3 linked regions of the Rattus norvegicus genome follow. The protein of the gene in region 3 purifies or fractionates together with the protein of the main gene of each other region. This does not show direct contact. Links are inferred from orthologs where the notes say so. Each region holds a gene or a part of one and is shown on either strand. Other genes may lie near its edges.

Region 1 (7,705 bases), on a different chromosome or scaffold from region 3:
GACCCTTCCTGGTGGCCTGCTGACCAAAGCCAAAGCAGCCCCTCCCAGAGCTCTGGCCTTTGACCTGGAAGTTCCCACACCAGATCCTATTTCCGGTTCTGTTGTGAGAGTTTTTGTAGTGCCTGCCCGGCCCCAACAGACCCTCACCTCCTCCTGACTTCCTAACCTTTCTCTGTCTAGCACCGCAACAACTCACGGTGTCTCTCTAGAAGCACAGCATCTGGGTGTTGGGTTGTTGTGTATTTTGGTTATCCCTCTTGACTTTTTATGTGCACTGTGTTTTGTCTGCATGCATGTCTGTGTGAGGACATCAGTTCCCCTGAAATTGGAGTTGCAGATGGTTGTGAGCCGCCATGTGGGTGCTAGGAATTGAACCCTGGTCCTCTGGAAGAGCAGCCACTGTTCTCACCACTGAGCCATCTCTCTGCCCCTGCTGTTTGGGTTTTTGAGACAGGGTCTTACTGTGTAGCCCAGGCTGGCCTGAAACATACTCTGTAGCTCAGGCTGGACTGAAACTCAGAGATCTTCCTGCTTCTGCCTCCAGTGAGTAGGATTAACGGCGTGTGCCACCACACTGTGCCTTTTCTTTTTGTTTTTGTTATCTTTTTATTAAAAAAAATTATGTGGGGGCTGGAGAGATGGCTCAGCCATTTCTTAATTTCTTAAAGAGCACTGACTGCTCTTCCAGAGGTCCTGAGTTCAATTCCCAGCAACCACACGGCGGCTCACAGCCATCTGTAATGGGATCTGATACCCTCTTCTGGTGCGTCTGAAGACAGTGACAGTGTAGTCATACATATTAAATAAGTAAAATCTAAAAAAAAAAAAGTTCATGTATTCTGGTTTTGCCTGCAGCTGTCTGGATTCCTCAGAGGCTGGGAGAGGGCGTTGGGTCCCAGACTGGGTTACACTATCCTGACCCTGCCTGATGTGAGTCAGGAATTGAACCCTTATCCTCTGGAAGAGCAACCAGTGTTCTTAACGGATGAGACATCTTTCCACTTCCACCCCCAGGTTCCAAACAGGGTCTCATTTAGCTCAGGGTAGCCTCATACTCACTACGTAACCCTGGATGATCCTGACCTACTGACTGATCTTCCGGTCTCTTCCTTCCCAGTGCTGGGACGACAAGTGTGTGCCACCATATGGTTCGTGTGGTACAAGGATGGAAAGCAACGCCTCCCCCATGCTGGCTAAGCTTTCTGCCCACCGAGCCATTGCCACAGCCCAGCAGCCAACTTAATTATTAAACTATGCATCTAGTAAGTTTACTTGTGTGTGAGGACGACATACGCTTCGGAGCATCTACGGAGATTAGAAGACAGCTTGCAGGAGTCAGCTCGTATCTTCCGTCCTATGGGCTCCGAGGATTGCTTGCTGGCCAACTCTACCTGCGGAGCTGTCTTGCCCTTCATGTTTGGTATTTACAATATACTGTATGTATAGCGCATGTCAGGTTGCGCCACAGCGGTATGTAGAAATCGGTGATGAGCTTCCCGGCATCAAGAAGTCCTGGATTCATCACCAGCATCGCAAAATATTTAATTTAAAAGAAAAAAATCATTGCAGGTGTTCTCTCCCCTCCCTTTCCGGAAACTGCGTGAGCAGAGACCTCGTGGGACCGCCAGGTGTCGCCGCAGCGCCTCTCACGCCCGGGACATTTCGCACCTTGGGTGGGCGGCGCGGAGGATGCAGGATGCGTCACCAGACCCGGGATGGGGGATCCGGCGAATCGAGCCGCGCGGCTGAGGCCAGGACCCAGGCTGGCGGAGGAGGGGACTCAGGGTGATTCACCGGGAGCCCCCGTGCGCTGTGGGAGAATCCCACGCGGGGTCTGTCTGCCTCCCTCATGTCCTTGCCGTCCGCTACCAGCCCTCATACTGTGGCTCACAGAACGCCCTCGGAGACCTCAGTTTCCATTTTGCACAATGCAGATAGCCGGCCAAACCTTGGAAAGATAAATGACACTCATGGAAGAGGGGGCCTGTGGTTCATGCTGCGTACTACAAAAATGCCAGGGACATAAAAGGGGCTGCCGGGTTGGGGATTTAGCTCAGTGGTAGAGCGCTTACCTAGGAAGCGCAAGGCCCTGGGTTCGATCCCCAGCTCCGGAAAAAAAAAAAAAAAAAAAAAAAAAAAAAAAAAAAAGGGGGCTGCCTTTCAGCCACCACTCCCAGGGGGCAGCACCGGATCAGGTGTGGTGACGCGGTCTGAGGATAGACCGGGAGGCAGCCGGCAGGGGGCGGGGCCGCTCCGGAGAGCGTCTGGAAGGCTCTTCACCTGCGCCTCCCCGGCTCATCTGAAACTCGGGGTGCCAGGAGCGGGGAAAAGGGGTTCCGGATCTTTCCTCCTGGGATCCCTTAGTGCTCTGCAGCCAGGACCCCTGGGGCACCGCCAAACCACCTACCACGACCACTGGGAAGCTTCCTGTGTGCCTCTCCCGCGACCCCCGCCTGAGGGGGCTGAGCGTTCTCAGAGCACCTTTGTATGCGCTGGTGGGATGCCTTTGTAGTTCTCACTTTGGGGAGAGGATCCCACGGTCCTCAAACTTACCAAGTGTTTACTATATACCTTAGACTTATTTAAACACTCTCCAACTCTCCAAGGCCGAGCTGCAGACTTAGCCTCCTGGCCCATGCACATCCCTTCTTTTAGAGCTTGGGAAAGGCTAGGGACTCTCCGGGGACAGGGAGGGGATTCCAGACAGCTCTCCCCGAAAGTTCAAGCCAGCCTCTCGCGCTGGAAACCCCGCGCGCGGCCTGCGTAGCGCGGCTGCCGGGAAATCAGGAGAGAAACTTCTGTGTTTTTTTTTTTTTTTTTTTTTTTTTTTTTTGTCTGTGTGTGTGGTTTTTTTTTCCTCTCTCGATTCGCTGGCAGTCGCCGCTGCCTGGGTTCACGCTCCTCCCAGCCCTGACCCCCACGTGGGGCCGCCGGAGATCCGAGCTCCGCCCTTTCCTACCTCCAGCCAATCTCAGCGCAGGCTACTCGGCTCTTTGTGCCTCCACCAATGGATGGGCGGTGCATGCCTCCCCTGGCCACGCCCTCTCCCGGGCGGTCTTATAAGCGGCTTGCAGCGCCGGCGCGCTCACTCCGCGTCAACCCGGGATCCGTGTCACCTCCGTCTTCTTGGATTAATTTCGAGGGGGATTTTTTTGCAATCTTCTTTTTAATCCTGCTTTTTTCTTGGGAAAGTAAGTCCCACCGCCTCCGGAAAGCCTCGGACACTTCTGGTCGCGCGGGAAGGTTTTTACCTCTTGGGTTCGGATCTGGACGAGTGCTTTGCCTTGGGGATCTTCCGTGGGGGTCCGCTGTGAAGTGTGACTGAATCATGACCCTGGAAGAGCTGGTGGCGAGCGACAACGCGGTTCAGAAGTGAGTACAACGGAGACCGAGGTCTTCTCGCCCGCCGCCTGAGGTCTGCTGGGCTGTCATCGCCTAATCTCCCCATTTGGCCTTTTAGGATGCAGGCGGTGACTGCGGCGGTGGAGCAGCTGCTGGTGGCCGCGCAGCGTCAGGATCGCCTCACCGTGGGGGTGTACGAGGCGGCCAAACTGATGAATGTGTGAGTCAGCACCCCCTTTTCTCGGGCGTGGGTGGGGGCGCCCCTCTGATGCACGCGCGCTCCAACATCCCTCTAGGGCTCGGGGCTTTGGGGGACTTTCCCAGCGCTCCTGGGAGTTGGGGAGTGGAGGGCGACATTTCTCAGAGAATTTTTTGGGAGAGGGAAAGAGACTCGCTGCAGAACCCTGACTTTGCAAGTTTGAGGTTTTGTGTTTTTTGTTTTGACAAGCAATCCCAATAACTTTGGACTGCTTGCTTCCTTCCTCCCCGCCATCAGTATTTGCATAGTCGGCCACCCCGGCACCCTTGCACCCTGGGTCTTGCTCACCCCTCCCCCTGAGGTTCCCGGAGCTAATGCCCTCCTCCGTGCATGGCTACACCCGCTCCTGGTCTGGCGTCCCTCTGACACTCCTTCTTTCCTGCAGGGACCCCGACAGCGTGGTCTTGTGCCTGCTGGCCATAGACGAAGAAGAGGAGGATGATATTGCTCTGCAAATTCACTTCACCCTGATCCAATCGTTCTGCTGCGACAATGACATTGACATCGTCAGGGTATCAGGCATGCAAAGGCTGGCGCAGCTCCTGGGTGAGCCGGCAGAGACTCTAGGCACAAACGAGGCCCGAGACCTGCACTGCCTCCTGGTCACGGTGAGTGACCCACCCCGCCCTGATCACCTGGGTCCCGTGTTTGTCAACATAGCTGGGCTGGCTGCTCCAACACCAGCTCACTGCCCAGCCATGCTCGGCATGTCCCGTGGGCTGCCTCGTCACCCTGGCAGCTATTTTGAGCTAGCCTGTTTTTCTCTAATAGGGCTTCTGGAGCTGAACAGAGGCTCCCTACCGAACTCCTAGAGCTCCCACTAAACCCTTTCTTTTTCTCCCTCCAACAGAACTGTCATACAGATTCCTGGAAAAGCCAAGGCTTGGTGGAGGTGGCCAGTTACTGTGAAGAGAGCAGAGGCAATAACCAGTGGGTCCCCTATATCTCTCTGGAGGAACGCTGAGGCCCACTCTAAACACCTAAAGCAACTGTTGAGTTGCTGTCCCCTAAAAAAATTAAATAAAATACATATTTGACAGCGCCCCCTCATTCCCCAGAACAATCCCTCAAAAGCTACCCTACCCGTGATACCTTCCGGGAGGGGCGGAGTCACCGAGACTGAGACGAGGAGAGGGGAGTGTGCGCCCGCCCGCCCCCTGGGCTATGGAGCCAGGAGCCAGCACCACAGGTGGTCGCCAAGACAGGAAGGAGGGGACCTCAGGCTGGAGGAGACAGAGACTTTAGAGCCAAGGCCTGGCAATCATGCAGCCAGCCTCTGCACGCAGCAGCAGACGGTCTGGACACCGCCGCAGGGGTGGGGCGAGGCGTCCCCCACCCCGCTGGACAGTGAACTGTGCGTAACTCAGCGGAGGGCGGCGACCCTCGACGCGGGAGCCGGGACTCGAGCCCGGGACTTCGCAGCTAAGGCACATCTACTTTAGTATTGTGCTGAGCAAGACAGATCGCTTGCATATTTTTTAAAAATTTCTACTACAGAGACATTCCAATAAACTGGTTAAGCCTTCCTGTTCTCGTTGTTTTTCCCACTTGCCCACCGCCCCTTCTGGCTACCCTGTGTCGCGCCACCGGCCACCAAGCCGTGTTAGGAGCTCTGAGCTCCGCAGCTCCAGACGCTACTGCTGTCTGTTGTAGGCGCCACCACCCAACTCCAGCTTCATAGCAATTAAGACGCGGGTTTATTACGAAACCTGGCGGCCCATCCCCCACTGTTACCCACTGTGCTGAAGCTGGGGTCTGGGAACGCCGGGAAGATGGCTGCAATCTCCGTCACCACCCTACTGAGCGATCACCTCTCAAAGACCAGAGAGGTGCTGAGAACATCTGAAGTCGCTCAGCAGGGGCTTCTCGGGGAAGATTCCTGACCTCCCCTGGGGACGCACCCTAAGTTTCTTGTTCCTGGGATGGGCCCTGTGGATGCACAAAGGGAAAAGAATGCTTTTTCATTCTTTCCCCAAGCTTAAAATCAACAGTAGGAAACACCCTGGAAGCCTTGGCACTCGCCGCATCTCGCTCCAAAACAAAACCGTGCGGTCCTTCCCAGGGCTTCCCTTCCTCGCCAGCCTCAGTTTACCAGCGACCTTTCCACCAAACTCCTCGTGGGTGGAGAAAATCCCCGGGGTCGCCCTGGGAGTCACGCGCGGGGGGAGCCCCAAGGAGGGGAGTCCCCAGGGGCGGGGTGTAGGGTTTGGAGGAGGGGAAGGGTATCTGGGGTGCAGGGTGTGGGGGAGGGTAGGAGCTGGGCTGTCGCGTTTGCTAGAGCGCTAGCCATGGGGGCGGGGAGGAGCGAGTGAGGGGGATTAAAAGTTTTGCCACACTCGTCTTTGAGTGAGACCCAGGGACGAGGGTCACCTTGGGGGTCGCCCAGAGGCATTAGGATGCGGAAATGAACAGGTTAGAGCGGGAAGGAGTGAGAGGTGGGCAGGGGTAGGCTGGAGGGCACAGAAAGGATATGGGGTGTCGAGGTGTGGACTATTGAGAGGAGACTAAGCCTCGGGCTCCCAGTCTCGGCCTGCAGGCAATGGCCCCAGGCAGGTCCATGCTAGTTCTTCCCTTAGGGCTTGTAACCTGCGGTCCCTTTTCGGACCTGGTGGCCTCCTTGAACAAACAAGAGACCTAACACTTTTTTTTTTTTTTTTTTTTTGCCTTGTCTCAGTTTCTCCCTCGGTTAAATGTCCTCCATTCCAAAGTTCTGAAGTTTTCCTGGCAGAAATCGCCTTGAATACCTGGTTCGCTGACTCAGCCATACCAGCCTAGCGTCTGCCTTCCACACTCAAAACTGCCCCAGCCTCATTTTCCCCCAGAAAAAGATACTGGCGCTCAGAGCTTAGTTTGCAGTCTGGAATTATGGGTGGGGGAGGGGGAAAACTCTAGCCGGCTGAGGAGAGACTCCATCCAGTCAGCAGGGAGAAGCTGTCCCAGGTCATCGAGCTTCGGTCCTGTCCTGGACTGCTGCTCCCCTTAGGGACATCATCCTGTGCCAGGAAACGTGGGTGTGTTATTGGACGTTAAGCAGGAAAAACTTGGCAATGCGGATTTCAGGCAGATGGGCGTGGCGCGCACGCACGCTCACGCATGCACACGCAGTCCCCCAGCACTTGGTTGTAGGAACACCAGCCCCTGCACTGAGCTACTTCCGGGTTTTACTCCTGTTCCTCTTGGCCGAGTTGCTCAACTTCTCTGAGCTGGCTCTCTGTGACACACGCAGCCCATATGAGCACCGGCTTGTACAAACAGGTATATGTTCACGCAGGCCGGTATCCCCTGGAATACAATACGACCTTCTTACAGATCCATGGCGGTCGAGGGACACTCTGCCTCAGTAGCGCCCGAGCTTCTGAGCCTCGCTTGCCAGGCACAGATGGTGAAGGTCCTGTGAACCTGTTCAGCTATACTAAGGGACCAGGCTGGGACAAGAGCAGGACAGATGAAGTATGCAGAGACGCTGGGGGAAATCATGAGATAGTTGGAATATTTCATTTCACATGGTTTGCAGGATGAGGATATGAGATGGCAGTGGTGCTAGGGGTTGGAAGGAAAAGAATTTAAGGCCTGAAAATGATCTTCTTGGGTGGGAGCTCCACTCTGACCACACCCCCAGCCCCTCATTGGGGGAGTCTAGGCAGACCACGCCCCAGCCCCCTCACTGGGGGGTTTAGGAGGGGCTCCACCCTGACCACGTCCCCAGCCCCCTCACTGGGGGATTCTAGGCTGGGTTTCCTCCCTGACCACGCCCCCAGCCCCCTCACTGGGGGATTTCTAGGCGGGGCTCCACCCTGACCACGCCCCAAGCCCCCTCACTGGGGCATTCTAGTCGGGGCTCCGCCACTGACCACGAACTCAGTCCATTTCCATTATTCTACTTTAATTCACTGACTGTTAAGGACATCCCCAGAATGTGGACACCATGATTAGTGTCCCTACTTCATAGAGAAACAATCCAAGGAGGTGGAGCCACCTGCCAGAGGTCCCATGACTGGTGACTGGTCACCTCTACAGGACAGGGTTCCCTAAACTGAGTGGTGTCACAAGACTTGGCTAGGACATAACATGCTGCAGGCTAACGTGAGTCCCTGAGGGACAAAA
Region 2 (8,030 bases), on a different chromosome or scaffold from region 3:
GATACCAGGGTGGGTTGGAACGAGGTAGCCCAGTGGCCTTAAACTCAAACTAGTCCTCCTGCCCCAACCTTGTTTACTAATTTCTAAAGCAATTAACTAAATATTAGCATAAGTTAGAGGCATACTTTACTTATACTTATAGATTTATCTTCTTTTGAATTTTATTAATGTAGTGCATGATGTGCGTGTGTACGTGCATGTGTGTCTGCGTGTGTGTGCGTGTGGACAGGTGGATGTGCACATGTCCTGCACTCATGTGGTCAAAAGACGAGTCTGAGAAATCAAGTCTCTTCTCCTTTAGGTTTCAGAGATCAAACTCAGGCTGTCAGGCTTGGGTGGCAAGCGCCCTACTGAACCAATGGTTCAGAATTTCTTTTCAACCCAAGTTTAAGTTACTTCATAAAGGAACAACAAAACAAAAATCAAAAGAATACCTAACTGCACTTATTGCTGAGCCTGTCAGAAACGGATCAACCTTAAGGCTGGATCCTGCTATTTCTTATCACTAAGCACTGGGACTTAAGTGACTCAAACTCCTTTTTAATAATATGTATGGTAAGTAACGAATCTCTGTGAGGCTTTCAATATTTTCCTGTTGCTATGATCTGAGCAAATACCACGTACCAGGTAGTAATTACTTTTCCCAGGGCCAGGGACACTGCAGGATCTCATACAGGCTCTCTCACTAAAGCTGCAGCCTTGGATTTATGATGATTTCTACTTATTCCACTTATTTAACCAATACTGACTCATCACCTAATGTATGCAGACATCTACGACCCGGTATTAGCTCATCCTTCCAGATGACGAGATGACAAAGCTATAAAAGGCAACGCTGTGGGCTGGGTAGTGTGTTCTTCACTTTTACACCTGAGTGAATCAGGGCAGAGAGGCCTGATGGAGGGAGGCATGGCTGCCACCCATGCTCTTTCCAGCAAACAGCTGCTTTTCTCCACTTGCTTTTCTCCACTTGCTTTTCTCCTACTTGGTTTGACTTATTTCATGAACTGCAACAGTTGTAGAAACAGATCGGACGAGCCTCTAGCGGGAAGGCTAAAGGTCTTGCCTGAAAGGCATGGCTCTCAAATCTCCTGCTAATATAAAAAGTAAATGTTGTTACTCCAGTTGTTTGGGATTACACCTTGGCTTAAAGCAAAAGAAGACTAAATAAGGCCTAGAAATCCACATTCCTAAGAGTAGAAACAAAAGAAGGCCATACAAGATGCGCAGAAGCTTAAGGGTATGTTTTCTTCTGCCCTCCCTGCTGGTCACAAGAAGGCTGACAAACACAGGGGCCCAAGGAGCTCCAGAGAGAGGGTGGGGGTGGGGAGGGGGGAGCTGCAAACAGTGGAGACTACAGCTCTGCAGGCCTTTTTCTCCAGCATGTCCCTTTGGGTTCCCTGGCTCTGCCTACATGGGCCTGCTACTGACCAGACAGTACAAAGGCTTCTTCTACTGAAGTCTTTTTTTCCTTATTCTCTGACACTTCTTCCCTAATATATCCAGACCCCTTGCAGCAGTCGTGGAAATGCTCGGCTGAAGCTATAGTGCCCTGGGAAGAGGCTAAGAACATGAGAAACCTGCCCTTTGTCATGGTTCTACAAAACATTCTCACTACCTTACACTGGGAACTACAGCTATTCACCCTATTAACTACCCCTTACCTCCCATGTTATCTACCTACAACACTGACCATGTCACTTCCTTCTGCAGACTGTGGCAAGTTCACAGAAGGAAGCTCGAATACATAATGGTGATGTAAGAACTCCTGTCAGCATCTGAGTCGAACCCCCACCTTTCCAACCCTCTCTCTCACTTATCTCCCTACACCAGAGGCACGCAGCGTCACCCTTGCAGGTCTCTCTGCGGGCTCTGATCTTTCATGCCTGCACCATTGCACAAACTTTTGTAGCTGTTAGCAATACCCTTTCCCTGTCTCTACCTAGAGAAACTAAGCTCATTTCTTAAGCCTCCAATAAGATGATTTTTTTCCCCTCAGTAAAAGCTTCACTTATCTTCAAGCAGCTTTGGTAACCCTCCTCTCTGCTTCTATGTTTTGCATGCAATTAATTATAGCATTTTAATAATTCATTGTAATTCAGACTTTGCAAGGTGACTCTTTCTCCATATTCCCTTTGCCCTTACCCAAACCCTCTACCATCACCCATCTTTCTGCCTGGTGGCTTTAAAGCAAAGTTTCAATACAAAGTCTGATAAGAGTCCATGTTGGAAAACACATACCACACATTGAGAAACGACACAGTTATTCCATACCAGTTTATTTTAGATAATGTGCTTCAAAAACGTTTTATCATAAATAACCTTTCACATCATAAAATAACTTAGTACGATTTATAATAAAACTTCTGAGAATTTAACATCTCATCAAAATACATTAAACTGTGGCTTGAAAATATGATTAACCCTTTTCACTTTTCTTTTATTTGAGGGCATGAAGACCAAAAAAAATACCCAAAATATTGCTACACATTTAAAGTTTCAACAAAGCAATATTTGGTTTACTTTACTGTAACCCGGCCATCCTAAATTAATAGTTTTCTTTCTTGCACAGTTCTTTGTAGTTTTTTTGTCCCTTTTGACTTGGATTTCTGTTTCCACACAGCTTCCTCCTTCAGTCTCACCTCTCTCTCCTTCTGCAAAGTCATCTCCTAGCCCTCCTGTAGTTGAACTCAGCCCCTTGACATCAGTTTCTGTAATCCTTGCATCAGCGTGGGGAGTGACTGCTTGAGTAACTACAAAGGTATTTCAAAACTTCAGTGCAATTTGGTTCAGTTATTTCCATTCAGATGCCATCACCGTTCGGGGAATCACCGTTCGGGGAGATTAATCACTGGCACCCACTGATCCATGTAGCGACTTTCCCGGCAAAAACAAATAAGTTGACTTAAGGCAGGATCCTTCCATTGTGATGAATGTGGGTTCTGAGAACAGATTTAGAAAAATTACTTCCCCATAATATGATCAGCGTATGCTACTAGCTGTACTACTTTTGAAAGGGCCAAACCCCAAACATTCTGCCAAACAGCGTTTGGCCAAGTCTAAACACCTGTAATGCACACTGAGCCACACAGTTTTGCATATTAACTACCCCACTCTTCATGAAGTTATCATTCTCAAGACTGCCCTTCCAAGCACGTACCCTGGTGGAGTCATAAGTAAAATACTTCTGAAAAACATTCTCAGGCTGTGTGCACCGTGAGAGCTGCAGGGAGGGCAGCTGAACTCTTTTATCTTTCCTGACAATGAATAGCACTTTTCACTGGCAGCACAAATAATCAGGCTACCACTTCCCTACACAAGTCAAAAGAGTACAAAAACAAAAAACCAGAAGACCGAGACAGCAGCACATTTCTTTCTGAAAACACTATCCACCCACCACACATTTTTAAGCGGTGGGGAGGAGGGTGGAGAGGGCTCGTTTAAACAAACTCAAGAGCAGCAAAGAAAAGAATTCCACTCCGTACACTTCACAGAGTATCTATATCCAGGGAGTTAATAAGGTCTGTCTCCTACACGACTTCTATCTTTAGCTTTGACAGCAAATGAAGAATGAAGCTGACTTCTTAACGAAGGGTGAACCGGGAACTTAATGTGGCTTTATCTAATCTGTTCTGCTCAAAGAATTAGTCACACGAGCTAGTGCAGAGGTAGGCAGGGGTAGCTGGGTAGCCTGCTGACTCACTGATATCATCCGCCGCTGGAGGCCACCCATGAGCTTAGACACGCTCCTCACAGTATCAGAACCCCCGCGAGATCAGCGTCCAGCTCGGACAAGGTCCACCCCAGCAGATTCTGAGCTGCAGCCCCTGGTCTCTTACCGTCACCAGCACACAGTGTAAGTCCGGGGTCTGCGCAGCGCCCCCGCTCTCAGCGGGGCTCTTGTCGTTCTCCAGTAGCAACAGCTCTGCCAGCCGACCCGGGTTGCTGACCCGCAGGATGTTGATGTCGTTCTCGCAACAGAAAGCACGAATGAGGGTGAAATGGATCTGCAGAGCCACGTCCCGGTCGTCATCTTCATCCGCAGCCAGCAGGCACAGGACCACGTTGTCCGGGTCTCTACAGACAGTGGGCAACGGTGAGTGTACAAGCTCCGGGGAGCGCGGGGTAGAAGCGGGTGGGTAAGCGGGAGGCGGGGGGCGCGGGTGGCCGGGGCCACTTACACGTTGAGCAGCTTGGCTGCCTCGTACACGCCGACAGTTATGGTGCGCTGACTCCGAGCCTTGCTGAGCACTTCCTCCAGGGCATCGCCCACCGTGTCCATCCTGCAGATCGCAGGGCGAGAGCGGGTCAGTAGGGTTCCGGGCCGCGAAGCCGTAGGGGTGGCGGCCACCGAGTCCGCAGGCACACTTACCTTTCGATCTTCTGCTCTGCGGCCGAGAATTCCTCCAAAGTCATATTGCAAGTGCGAGTCCCTCACGCGGCGCGCGGGCTGCTCCTGGCCCCCACAGTGCCCGGCGCCGGCTCTGCGCTGGCTCCCACCCTCGCGTCTCTGCTCTCGCCGGCTTCTTGCTTAGCCTCGCTGGGGAACACTGCACAGCTGCCTCGGGGCCACTGGAGGACAAAGGGTCCGATCCGGAGATATGGGGCTAGCCCTCAGCCAACCACGGCTAGCCTCATTTACATGCAGCCAGGTCATTGGGTCATGCAAATTAGCAGACTTTGACACTCTGACGCTAGCTCCACCAAGCTAGGCAGAGTTGAGCGGAAGGGGGCGGAGCTATGCGGGAGGGAGCCCCTGGCACGAAGGTGGTGCAGAAAGCCGGTTGGTGGGGTCCGGAGCCAGCTCTAGACAGTTTGTGAAGCCATCTGGTGCAGAGGGCTTTTGGAGTGGTTCAAGTGTCCTCAGCTCTGACTGAAACAGCCTGCCAATTGTTTCTCTGGTTGTGGACATCTTTTGATTGTCGTTTCGTGTTCTTTTGTGTTAAGGGACTGCTTTTTAAAATTTATTTCCAGGGGTTAATGCACTCTAGTCTAGTTGTTATTAGTAAGCATATTTTTAAGTGTTCAGACGTACCAGGCAAAGCTTGCTTCAGAGTGTTTATATGCAAGTTACAGGTTAAGCTGCTTATTCCCAGTAGTATTCTTTTGGTGCCCTGATGGCTGGTTTGATTTGGTTTTGGTTGGTTGTGAGAATTTGAAACTCCAGGGAGGAAAAAAAAAGCACATTTGTGTGTAGTGATGGCACAGTACCGAGTTGGAATCTTTTCCACAAAAAGCTGGTGAAATTTCTGCCCCACTCCTTGTAAGCTGGTGATCACATGTCTAACGAGCCAAGCTCACCGTTCTTAAAACCTTTCCTGAAGAAGGCTCCTTCTAATCAAGTAAGAGCTAAGAGACAAATTCTGTGATATTCAGAGTAACCACAGTCTAAATTCGAGATGCTCATGATGCCCCCTAGACTTCCCATCACAGAGTATGACACTGCCTTCTGTTGCCTATGATCTCACTCTGAATCATGAAGCTGTAACTATAGTTCATTTTAGCCATGTGCTAAAATTTCACCTTTGAGACATAGCAACTTGTAGGTAGAAGGCAAACCTTTATAACTGTAAGCAGGAGTTACAAATTAAAAACAATTTTTAATGTAAACTTTTACTGCATAGTTCAAAACCCCCTTTTTTTGTGAGCTTATTCAATAAATACGAAAACATTGCCTGAACCTACTAGTCACCAAGAGTGGTGAAATGGTGAAATGGTGAAATGGTTTGCATTCCTAACAGTGCTTATATTGAGGTCACTGGGCAGTTAGAGAGGTAAATTTTGCAGAAGTACATGTGACTTTTGCATCCTTAAGTGTTTATTCTTGTGGACAAAATATTTTCCAATTCTCTTAATCTTAATGGAAAATTGATAGGTTGATTTTTCTAGTTCACTTATTGGAGACAACTTTCCTTTTAATCCCTAAGTGCTATGTCCCCAAGAGACAATATCTGAGTAAAGGAACAAGCGTCAGCATGCTTGTGTACCTCATACTTATGCCTTAAATCTTTACATGAGCTATGCTTGTTAAGGAATTCCTCAGGGCAGGGGAGATGACTCAGTGATTAAGCACACTGGCTGTCCTTCCTTAGGTCCTGAGTTCAATTCCCAGCAACTACAATGTGACTCACAACCATCTATAATGGCATCGAATGCCCCCTTCTGGCATGCAAGCATACATGCAGTTAGAGCACTCAGAGAGAGAGAGAGAGAGAGAGAGAGAGAGAGAGAGAGAGAGAGAGAGAGAGAGAGAGAGAGAGAGAATGAATATGAATATTTATTCCCCAACATTGGGATTGGGCCTGGGATTCTTCCTCAATGGCAGAGCAGTTGCCTAGCATGTTCCAGGCTCAGGCCCAGGATTTGATCTGCTGCAAAACAGCAACAGGGACGAAATTTCAATATTTCGTTAGGCTTCGATTGTGGGTATTTAGAATTATCACTAAAACAAGCCTCTGGACATTGTGTAATGGACCATCTAGATTAGGTTAGCTAAGATGGGAAGACCCACTATGATGGATAAAACCATTCCATGGGCTTGGAGTCTTCACTGCATGTGAAAAGGCAAACTAGCTAAGCATGGGCATTTTGGTTCATTCCTGACTGAGGACGCCATGTGACCAGCCACTTCCAGCTCTGACTGTCAAGCCTTCCCATGATGGAGTACCGAGGAATAAACCCTTCCTTTCTTAAGTTGCTTCCACCAGGTATTTTGTTCCAGGAGCAAGACAGGTAACTGTCACTTAAACATTTTCAGCTTCATAAAACCAACATTACACAAACTGATCCAAGTCATCATTTGAAGACTAATAAACTGTGTTCCCTAGAACTCTGGGATTCTACCCATTAGACATTTCTTAGAAGTTCTCTGGAAGGATGCAAGCTGACAAAGATTTAGAGGATCATGTGACAGCAAAGACTATGACTTCATCAGCTTGGTGTCCTCAACAAGTCCTACATTCAGTAGTACAGTGGGTGTCATGAGTTGAAAATAATCTGAGAATTAATCAGCACCTCGTGATCCTACAGTCCTATGCATGAATTCTCAGAAAACTCACCTTTGACATCACTTCAAAAAAAAAAAAAAATACAAGCCCTAAACAATTTCTTGTCCTTTCTCTACAAAAACCTCGTGATCTAATTGGTATATCCATTGTATTAGTCAAGGTTCCTTAGACTAGTGGAACATATACAATGAATACACACACACACACACACACACACACACACACACACACACACACGCACACACATATGAAGGGGATTTAGTTGACTTACATGCAGTCTACAGTCCAACTAATCCAACAATGGCTGGCTATGAACAAAGTCCAAGAATCTAGAAGTTGTTCAGCCCATGAGGCCAGATGTCTCAGCTGGTCTTCTGTATGTGCTGAAATCCCAATGAAGTAGGCTCTAATGGCAGTGAAGGAATAGACTTGCAAGCAAGGCTAGAGCGAGCAGGCAATGAGCAAACACTTCCTTTTTCCATGTATAAGCTTCCAACACAAGGTGTGGCCCAGATTGAAGGTATATCTTCCCCACCTTGTCTTGTCACCTCAAGATCCAGATTAAAGGAGCGTGTCTTCCTGCCTTAAGATCTGGATTAGAAGTGGATCTTCCTATTTCAAATTAAGCAAAGAATTTCTTCACTTGAGTGCTATGTTTTTGAATTTTAGATAATTCCAGATGTAGTGTAGTTGACAACCAAGAATCGCCATCATACATATGTTTCAACTGGATTTTAGGACAAAATGGTATTCACTGTCATCAGCTAGCTAAGCTGAAAGCCCCTGAATGGAAGCTGTGGGATAGTAGAGCCATGCACTGTTTATGCCAATTCAGATGAAACATGCTACTACTGTGCCCCACTTAAGGCAACTATTTGAAGTTTAAAACGTGTATAACATAGTAAAAGTATAGTATTTATCCCTCAAAAAGTATACTTCATGCTATGCACAGCCTTATAAAAAAGGGCATTTTATTCAAGTCTTGAAAGAGTCTTCTGGTATTCAGAAAAGATTCATGTCATA
Region 3 (7,481 bases):
TGCACTGATGCACAGTGTGTGTGTGTGTGTGTGTGTGTGTGTGTGTGTGCGTGCGTGCGTACACAAGTAATATATGGATATCCACCCACCCACCCACCCATCCATCCATCCATCCACCCACCCATCCATCCACCCATCCACCCACCCACCCATCTACCTATCCAGAGGCAAGCGGGCGAGACATATCCAAATGGCCATCAGGCGCAGTGACGAGACAGACAGGGATTGGAAGTACAACGAAGTCTGCTTCCTACTGTCTGCAAGCCTACTGTCAAAGTGCGACAGCAGGACAGGGAGACCAGCAGGACAGGGAGACCCGGGCGCCTCACAGTGGAAGAACACGGTATGGCAGTCACTTCGGAAAAAACTCAAAAGTTTCTGAAAACACAGCTCAGCACACCCAACTCCTAACAGGCACAAAAACAGCCACGCAGATGCCTGTGTTCAAAGCAAATAGGCCACCAGGGGGCAGCCTGGTGCGCACCAACAAGGCCAGGGTCGGACAGAGCACGTGGCGCTTGCGTACAGTGGAAATAAAGATGTGCTGGCTTGTGCTCCATCATGACAGCCTCAGAAACTTCTAACTTCTAACTTCTCTAAACGCCCATAGTGAGCAAACCCCAGGCTGCACCAAGACAGGTGGGACAAATTCTACTGCGGGCAGTAGGAAGGTTCTAGAACTACATTGTGTAACAGCTCTACAGCTCTGATAAAAGGACAGTGTGAATCCCTTTACGTGATGTAGAGTAACTTAAAAGGCTGTAAAAGGGCATCTTAAATGAAGTCCTAACATCTCTGAATCCAAATCGGTGTTCTTTTGGCAGAAGAGACCAAAAATCCTTGACAATGACCCGGCCAGGGTCTGCTGCTACGTGCCAGGAGCAAGTGCATGATCCAAGAGACTTAGGGAATAAGGGAATAAGAGCACTAAACAACAACCAAGACAAACGCCATCACTGACAACAGCCGGCTATTTCAGGGTCCTACCGGCTTAGTCAGGTTATGCTCTGAGAAGATGGTCGCCTATCAAGAGATCGCATGGCACTGTTCCCCTCCCATATACCCACCAGCAACCAGAGCCCCAACCTTGTTGTGCACAGTAAGAGCCAAGCATGGCCACCTTATATCAGGTATGCCCAATCTTAAACATTGGGATATGCTGTCATCCGAAAATGCCTTGGGCCACACTCATAGCTATCCTGTGATGCACATGGCCCACAGGCGGCAGGTTGGACACACCCGGCTCGGGGTCCCACTGGGGCAGGCTTGGCTGTGCTGTTTCTACTGAGCAGAATCAAGGCAGGGAGGGGATCAGCAGACCTCCGCATGCTGCCCTGCTCTTAAGCCCCGAGCCAGTAACAGACGCTGACTTAGCTTTCCTAAAATAAACCATTTATTGAAAAAGAACCTTTTCTTCAGTTTCACTTATGAACCTTTGCATAACAAACCTGCAGCTTGCCAACAAGGAGGCTCCACAGTCGGAGCCACAGTCAGAGCCAACAAACAGGAGGCGGAAACAAGGTCCTGGACACCTGATTAACACTACATTTTCTTCTGAACCCAGAAGCTCAAGAACACTATGCTGATGTCACACGGGGAACGGAGGAGACAGAGGCGGTGGTCCGTGTACAGTAGTAATGGCACTTAACATGCAGCTTCTTTAACCTTGTCAACACTGTCACTCGGGGGTCCTGTGCTATTGCAGACACCAGGAGCAGCAGGAGTGAGGCTTGTCACCGTGTAGTCTTCAGTCTTGGAAGGTTAAGAGGCCGCCTGCACTGCAGTCTTTATGTAAATATTACATACAGTAGTGACCACGGGATTCTGTCCACACACTGCTAGGCCACGGACTAGAGCTTCACTCTTCATCTGTGCAAACCTGCGAGGAAGCAAGAGAGCGCTGAGCCCCTGCTGGTGCAAGCACGGTCCTGTGTCTGCCTGTGTGTCTTGCCTGCTTGGCTTCTGGCCCACAGGCAAGGCCTAGTGCCCCCCTGGCACCAGCCCCTGACATGTGAGGGACGACTTAGAAAACAGACCTACTCCATGTCTGCTCTCAGGGAAGGCTGGGCAGAACATAGGACAGTTCCTTCAGGGCAATATATTTCATCTACTTCAGAGCTAAGAAGCACTGTTCCTTCATCACCTGTCCCCAGTAGCTCTTGTACCCAGCCTACACACCAGCCCAGGTTCCGCCCACCCACCCTGTATCAGGGACTCCCGTGCAGGGTCCTTAGCTATGATCTGTGTGTTCTCATCCCCCTCCCAACACTGCAACACTGCCCCAGCTGCACTTGTGTGCCCACTCACTACTACAGCCTGCTGTACTGTGGCAATCTGACTGTCGGCCCTGAGCAACAAGACACCCACCTAAAATCCTGAACAAATCTTTAAATGGTCTTGCCAATGAGACCACCGATGCTCAGTCTCAACCTGCTGCCGTTTGGTTCTGCTGTGGTGGATGCGACCTTCAGATGACTCAAGGAGCCAGGAGGTGGGGCCACCCCAGACACCCCCAACCTGCTCCTCAGCCAGGGTCGTTCCAACCCCTCAGCACGGCCGGAGGCCACTGTCAGCCCGCTATCTCGGCAGGGCCACCAGCCATGCTGTTTGTTAACCGAGACCCTCTGCTGCTCCTACATCTTCCCCAGTCTTACCTTCTACCACATCCGCTTTCTTGTGCTCCCTCAGACCTTGGCTCACAAAGTACCACAATGACTCTGCCCGCAGCAGCCCCTCATGCCTGACACCTTGTCTGCCTCTCTGCCTGGTCACACCCTCTCATAGAGAAAGCACTGCCTCGGGCCTCCATAGGGCCCTAGATCCTCAGCCCCGCCTCCCATCACACATGCGTCACCACTGCTCAAGACACAGTGACAGGTCCAAGATGACCACACATTCTCGAGGGCAAGAACTAGGCTCATCTCCTGTCAACAGATCATGTAGAGAGGTCTTAGTGAGTCTTTACTAACTGAAAGCAAATCTCTGATACGTGAAGACATCCAGTTCCTGTCCTTTTAGATATAACTATTTTACACTAACGTCTGGTGCCTGATGCAAAGTCAAGCTTAAGTGTTTAACTCTGACGAGGACGACTGCAGCAATTACACAAACCTTGACAAAAGCGTGGTCAAGGAGCTGGCTGGCTGTCCACCTTATCTTCGGGTCACTTTCCAGGCAGTGCGAGAGAAAGTCCTTTCCTTCAGGGCTTAACCTTTCGGGGATTGGTGGCTTGTGTCCCATTCCCACCTTGTACATAATCTGAAAGTTGTGTTCAAACTCATGCCAAGGCCGCTGCAGAGACGGGAAAAAATAAAACAAGCTACAGCATTACACGGTCACAGCGACAAATGTCCAATCCCTCTGTAGGTATCTTGAGAAGACACCTGTCAGGGGAAGAAACACGTGCCGGGAGGAAGAAACAGGAAACACATCAGTCTTGAAGTGCATACATACAGTGTCAGAGCTTCAGTCAGCGCACGCGCACACACACACCCCTGTGTAACTACTGTTGAATGTAGCACACACTGTGCAATCACAGTCAGCAGGACTGTCACCAGAAGCAAGGTTTCTGTGGTCTAGGGACATATGTTTAAGTTTCATCCTATGGAAAGCAGTTCTCCAGAGTGAGCTCCCACTGTGAATTTTTGTCTGAAGCATGACTGTTTTCTCATACCTCTCTTAGAGTGAATATCATAAATCTTATAAATGTTATTCATGTGCTAAGGAAAAATTCATTTCCCTTTTAAATGTACCGTTCTGGAGAAGATGAGGATGGCCATCTGTTTCTTTTTAATAATCAGGTCTGCCTTTTTAGTGCAGTTTACAGTAACAGAAAGCTTGACTGGAGGGCAGTGGGTCTCCATGCACCCTCACACGTCTTGTCCCCCACTTTCTCCTGTTAGCCATAATTAATTACAATTGGTGAATCACTGTCTGCTCTGCTGCTAATGAAACATGCCATCAGGGTTCACTCTCTGTCTCGTACATTCTGTGGGTGTAGACACAGGTGTGATGGGAATCCATCATCTGCAGCTCTTTGGATGTGAACTGTCCCCCATGGGCAAAGTGTCTGAACATATGACCCCAGCAGGTGGCGCTGTTCTGGACGGTTGTGGACTCTTTAGGAGGTGTGGCAAGACCTACTAGGTAGGTCTGGAGGTTTTATAGCTGGGATCCACTTCCTGTCCCCTCTCCTTTGTAACTGTTGGTATGATGTCACTGGCTGCCTCACGTTCTTGCTCTCCTGCCATGCCTTAAAGTCAGGATGGACTTTAAACCGTGAGCCAAAATGACCGCTTTCTCTCTTAAGCTGTATTTTGAAGGCATTTGGTACCACAGTAAGAAAGTTACTGATACATAAGGAAGAATCTTGTCATCCCAAGTATCTCTTTCACTGTTTAGTCCTTTCCCTCCTACCCCTGCAACCACTATCTTTTGTTCATTCTGAAATAGGGCCTTGCCATGTAGCCCAGGCACCTCAGCCTCCCAAGTGCCATGGTAACAGAGGTGTGTCCCTACAGTTCTGCCTCCGGCGGTTTGTAAGGGACTCTTGTGGTAAGCCTGGTGGGTGTGGGGAATGTCGAGTACCTCTCTTCTCTTATCCTATCTTTCTGAGGATGTGAGGCCCGTTTCTTCACACCAGTGAGTAGCATCCCTTGTCTGCTACTCACAGTAACACACAGTTTGTTAGTCCTGTTAACCCATCCAGCTGACCTCCAGGGAGGTGTGGCTTGCTGATCCTTGTATCTACTGAAGGGCTCCTGACTGCTTCAAGTTTAGGCATTCATGTGCAGGTTTCGTGCAATGACAGCTTTGGACTTCATCTTTCCTTTTGCACCTGCACACGCCTGGCACCTCTTCCTCTCCCCCATCTCCCTATGCAACTCCGGCTTCTCTTTTCTGCTTTCCTATTGCATGTGCTTACTCTCCTCCCTCCTCACTCTTAAAGCCTCAAATAGATAGCTTCCTCTCCTGGAATCCTGTCTAGCTTTCTACCTCCAGCCACTCCCACATAAATACGTGTATATTAAAATTAAGGAGCTGGGATTTGCATATGAGAAAGAACGTGTGGTATTTCTCGTATTCTCCAGGTCCATTCAGTTTCCTGCAGACTGCATGCTTTCACTTTTGTGTGTGGCTGAGTAATAGTTTATGTTTCCATTATCCCATGTATCTGAGTGGTCCTTTCGGCCGATTCCACTTGTTGATGCCGTGAATAAAGCAGCAACGGTGGCCTAGTCTCTAGTGGGACATGTGGTCCTTTCAGCGTGTTCTCGGAACAGCATAGCTGAGTCATATGATGATCTAACGTCCTGTGAAGCTGCCACACAGATCTCCACGGTGGCTCTGCAGGTTCATGGTCCCGCAACAGTGAACACGGCTCATCTTTACACCTTCATTCATATGCACTACCTTTGGTTTTCTTCACAGCCATTCTGACTGGCCGGAAGGAGCCTCGGAATAGCTTTAACTTGCACTTCCTTGTTGGCTAAGGATGTTGAGCCCTCATTAAAATATTTCTCCTTCTGAGAACTCTGTTCTGCTCCTTGCCTCTTTTGTGGTTAGTCTGTTTGCTGTTTAGGAGTTCTTTGCATATTCTCATATTAATCCTGTCAGATGTGCAGCTGGAAGACTGTTGTCCAATTCTACGTGCTACCTCTTAACTTGGTTAACTATTTCTTTGTAGTACTGAGGCTATCGAGTGTACATACATGTTCACATGTGTGTGTGTGTGTGTGTGTGTGTGTGTGTTTGAGTTCACAGACATATGCTAAATGTGCATGGCAATCAGAGGCCATATGTGTCAGCCCTCATTGCTTTACATTCATTTCCTGTCAGGGTCTCCCATGAACCTAGAGCCATCAATGTGACTATACAGGTTGTCTCTGAGCTTTACACATCCTCCTGCCTTTGCCTTTGCAGACACATACTTCTGTTATCAGCATTTTTTTAAACATGCATGCTAGGAATCTGATGCTTTCATAAGAGGCACCTTTCCAACTGGCCATCTCCCCATAACCTGCACAGAGCACTTTGATCTCACAAGGCCCCACCTGTTAGCTGCCAGCCTTATTTCCGGAACAACTGGAGTCCTAACCAGGAAGTCCTAAATAGCCCTCAACTTTGTCAAACCTTGCCCAGTTTCAGAATTTACAGTCTTTGATAAAGGAATCTGATCCATTTGGAGGTGTCCAGAGTGTGGGATAAAGATCGTCCACACATTGGCATCAGTCAAATAGACTGTCTTTTCTCCATTTGTTGACACAAGCAGGTTTGTGTTTCTCTGCTTAACCTCAAAGCTGAAACACAAATTCACTCCTAGGAGCTCTCTGGGGCCCTATGTGTACCCTATGGACAGGTGCTTCTCAGTTTGTTATTTCTCCGAACCTTTCTGTAGTGGAATTCTTCCCTAATTAACTGAATAATAAAGATGATAAGAAGTCAATTACTGTTCGAGGAGGAGGAGGCGGGCCTTTCGGGTCCAAAAGAGGAAGAGGGAATGCAGGAGGAAGGCACTTGATTTTGGATGGAGAGGCGGGAGCAAAGCAGACAGGATGTAGGCTGGGGACAGTTAGATCTGGTGGCAGATTTCTAACATAGAACAGTTGATGAATTTAGGATGATAGATTCTGCGCCCAGCGACTGTGTTATCTGCTGATTCTAAACTAAGATTGTCTGGTGTTTTCCATTCTCTGGTGACTCGGGTGGGATAGAGGGACAGAACTTAGCCTAGGGGGAATTCAGCCAGGCTTTGGGATGGGAAGATTGGGACAGGACTGAGCTCCAGGGGAAAGGTAGTGAGTGGAGCGTGGGCTGGCGAGAGCATACCCACAGCTGCCCACGGGACCAAGACACTACCTCGGAGCTCTGGAGAGGCAGAGCCAGCGTTGGTGGGAGAGGCCTTGGCAAGAGGAATCATTGGGTCTGGATCTCGGGCTATGTACAGGGCTAGGAGCAGTCTGAGACCACCGGCTGGTGCCTAGCTAGCAACAGTATGGATTGGTTATTACATGCAACACCTTTCTGAGCCTTTTCATGGGATCCATTGACTCTCTGGTCATGAGCTCAAGTAGGAAGGTGTCCACAGCACTTACGATAAAGCCTCAGTTCTGTGGGTGACCTGTATGGAGTCTTCCTTCTGGTGCACAGGGAGCTTACCTTGCCAGTCACCATCTCTATGACGACGCACCCCAGACTCCAGATGTCTGCCGCACGTCCGTGGCCTTCTCCTTTAGCTCGGGTAATAACTTCAGGGGCCATGTAAGCTTTACAGTCGGATATGGAATAGCAAGGGTTACCAACACAGAACCACGTATCAACAGCACCAAGCACTATGTTAATAACCCTCGGCAATGGCCTTCACCCAAGTACAGGCGGCAAATGTTGAAAGCTTTCACTTTCAAGTCAACTTGAGGGATATTTTAGGGACAGGATTTCATTTTAAAAAGCAACTCTTGAGTGTGAAAATTTCCAGTAAATTG

The links.
Region 1: the proteins of Map3k4 (region 3) and Gadd45b purify together in Homo sapiens (co-immunoprecipitation; 3 studies listed by BioGRID and IntAct, counting the BioPlex papers as one, with this or other methods). This does not show direct contact. The link is inferred for Rattus norvegicus from reciprocal best matches to the Homo sapiens genes MAP3K4 and GADD45B.
Region 2: the proteins of Map3k4 (region 3) and Gadd45a purify together in Homo sapiens (co-immunoprecipitation; 3 studies listed by BioGRID and IntAct, with this or other methods). This does not show direct contact. The link is inferred for Rattus norvegicus from reciprocal best matches to the Homo sapiens genes MAP3K4 and GADD45A.

What each region holds. Positions count from the first base shown.
Region 1 is NC_086025.1:9,426,110-9,433,814, reverse strand, and holds Gadd45b (growth arrest and DNA damage-inducible protein GADD45 beta), read left to right. Parts: upstream 1-3,096; 5' UTR 3,097-3,328; coding exon 3,329-3,372; intron 3,373-3,460; coding exon 3,461-3,562; intron 3,563-3,986; coding exon 3,987-4,209; coding exon of another isoform or gene 4,210-4,413; exon of another isoform or gene 4,414-4,451; coding exon 4,452-4,565; 3' UTR 4,566-5,126; downstream 5,127-7,705.
Region 2 is NC_086022.1:97,482,234-97,490,263, forward strand, and holds Gadd45a (growth arrest and DNA damage-inducible protein GADD45 alpha), read right to left. Parts: upstream 4,567-8,030; 5' UTR 4,417-4,566; coding exon 4,373-4,416; intron 4,284-4,372; coding exon 4,182-4,283; intron 4,097-4,181; exon of another isoform or gene 4,078-4,096; coding exon 3,840-4,077; intron 2,943-3,839; coding exon 2,829-2,942; 3' UTR 2,264-2,828; downstream 1-2,263. UniProt on the Homo sapiens protein: In T-cells, functions as a regulator of p38 MAPKs by inhibiting p88 phosphorylation and activity.
Region 3 is NC_086019.1:51,061,007-51,068,487, reverse strand, and holds the end of Map3k4 (mitogen-activated protein kinase kinase kinase 4), read right to left. Parts: intron 7,266-7,481; coding exon 7,159-7,265; intron 3,292-7,158; coding exon 3,112-3,291; intron 1,880-3,111; coding exon 1,859-1,879; 3' UTR 1,371-1,858; downstream 1-1,370. UniProt on the Homo sapiens protein: Component of a protein kinase signal transduction cascade. Activates the CSBP2, P38 and JNK MAPK pathways, but not the ERK pathway. Specifically phosphorylates and activates MAP2K4 and MAP2K6.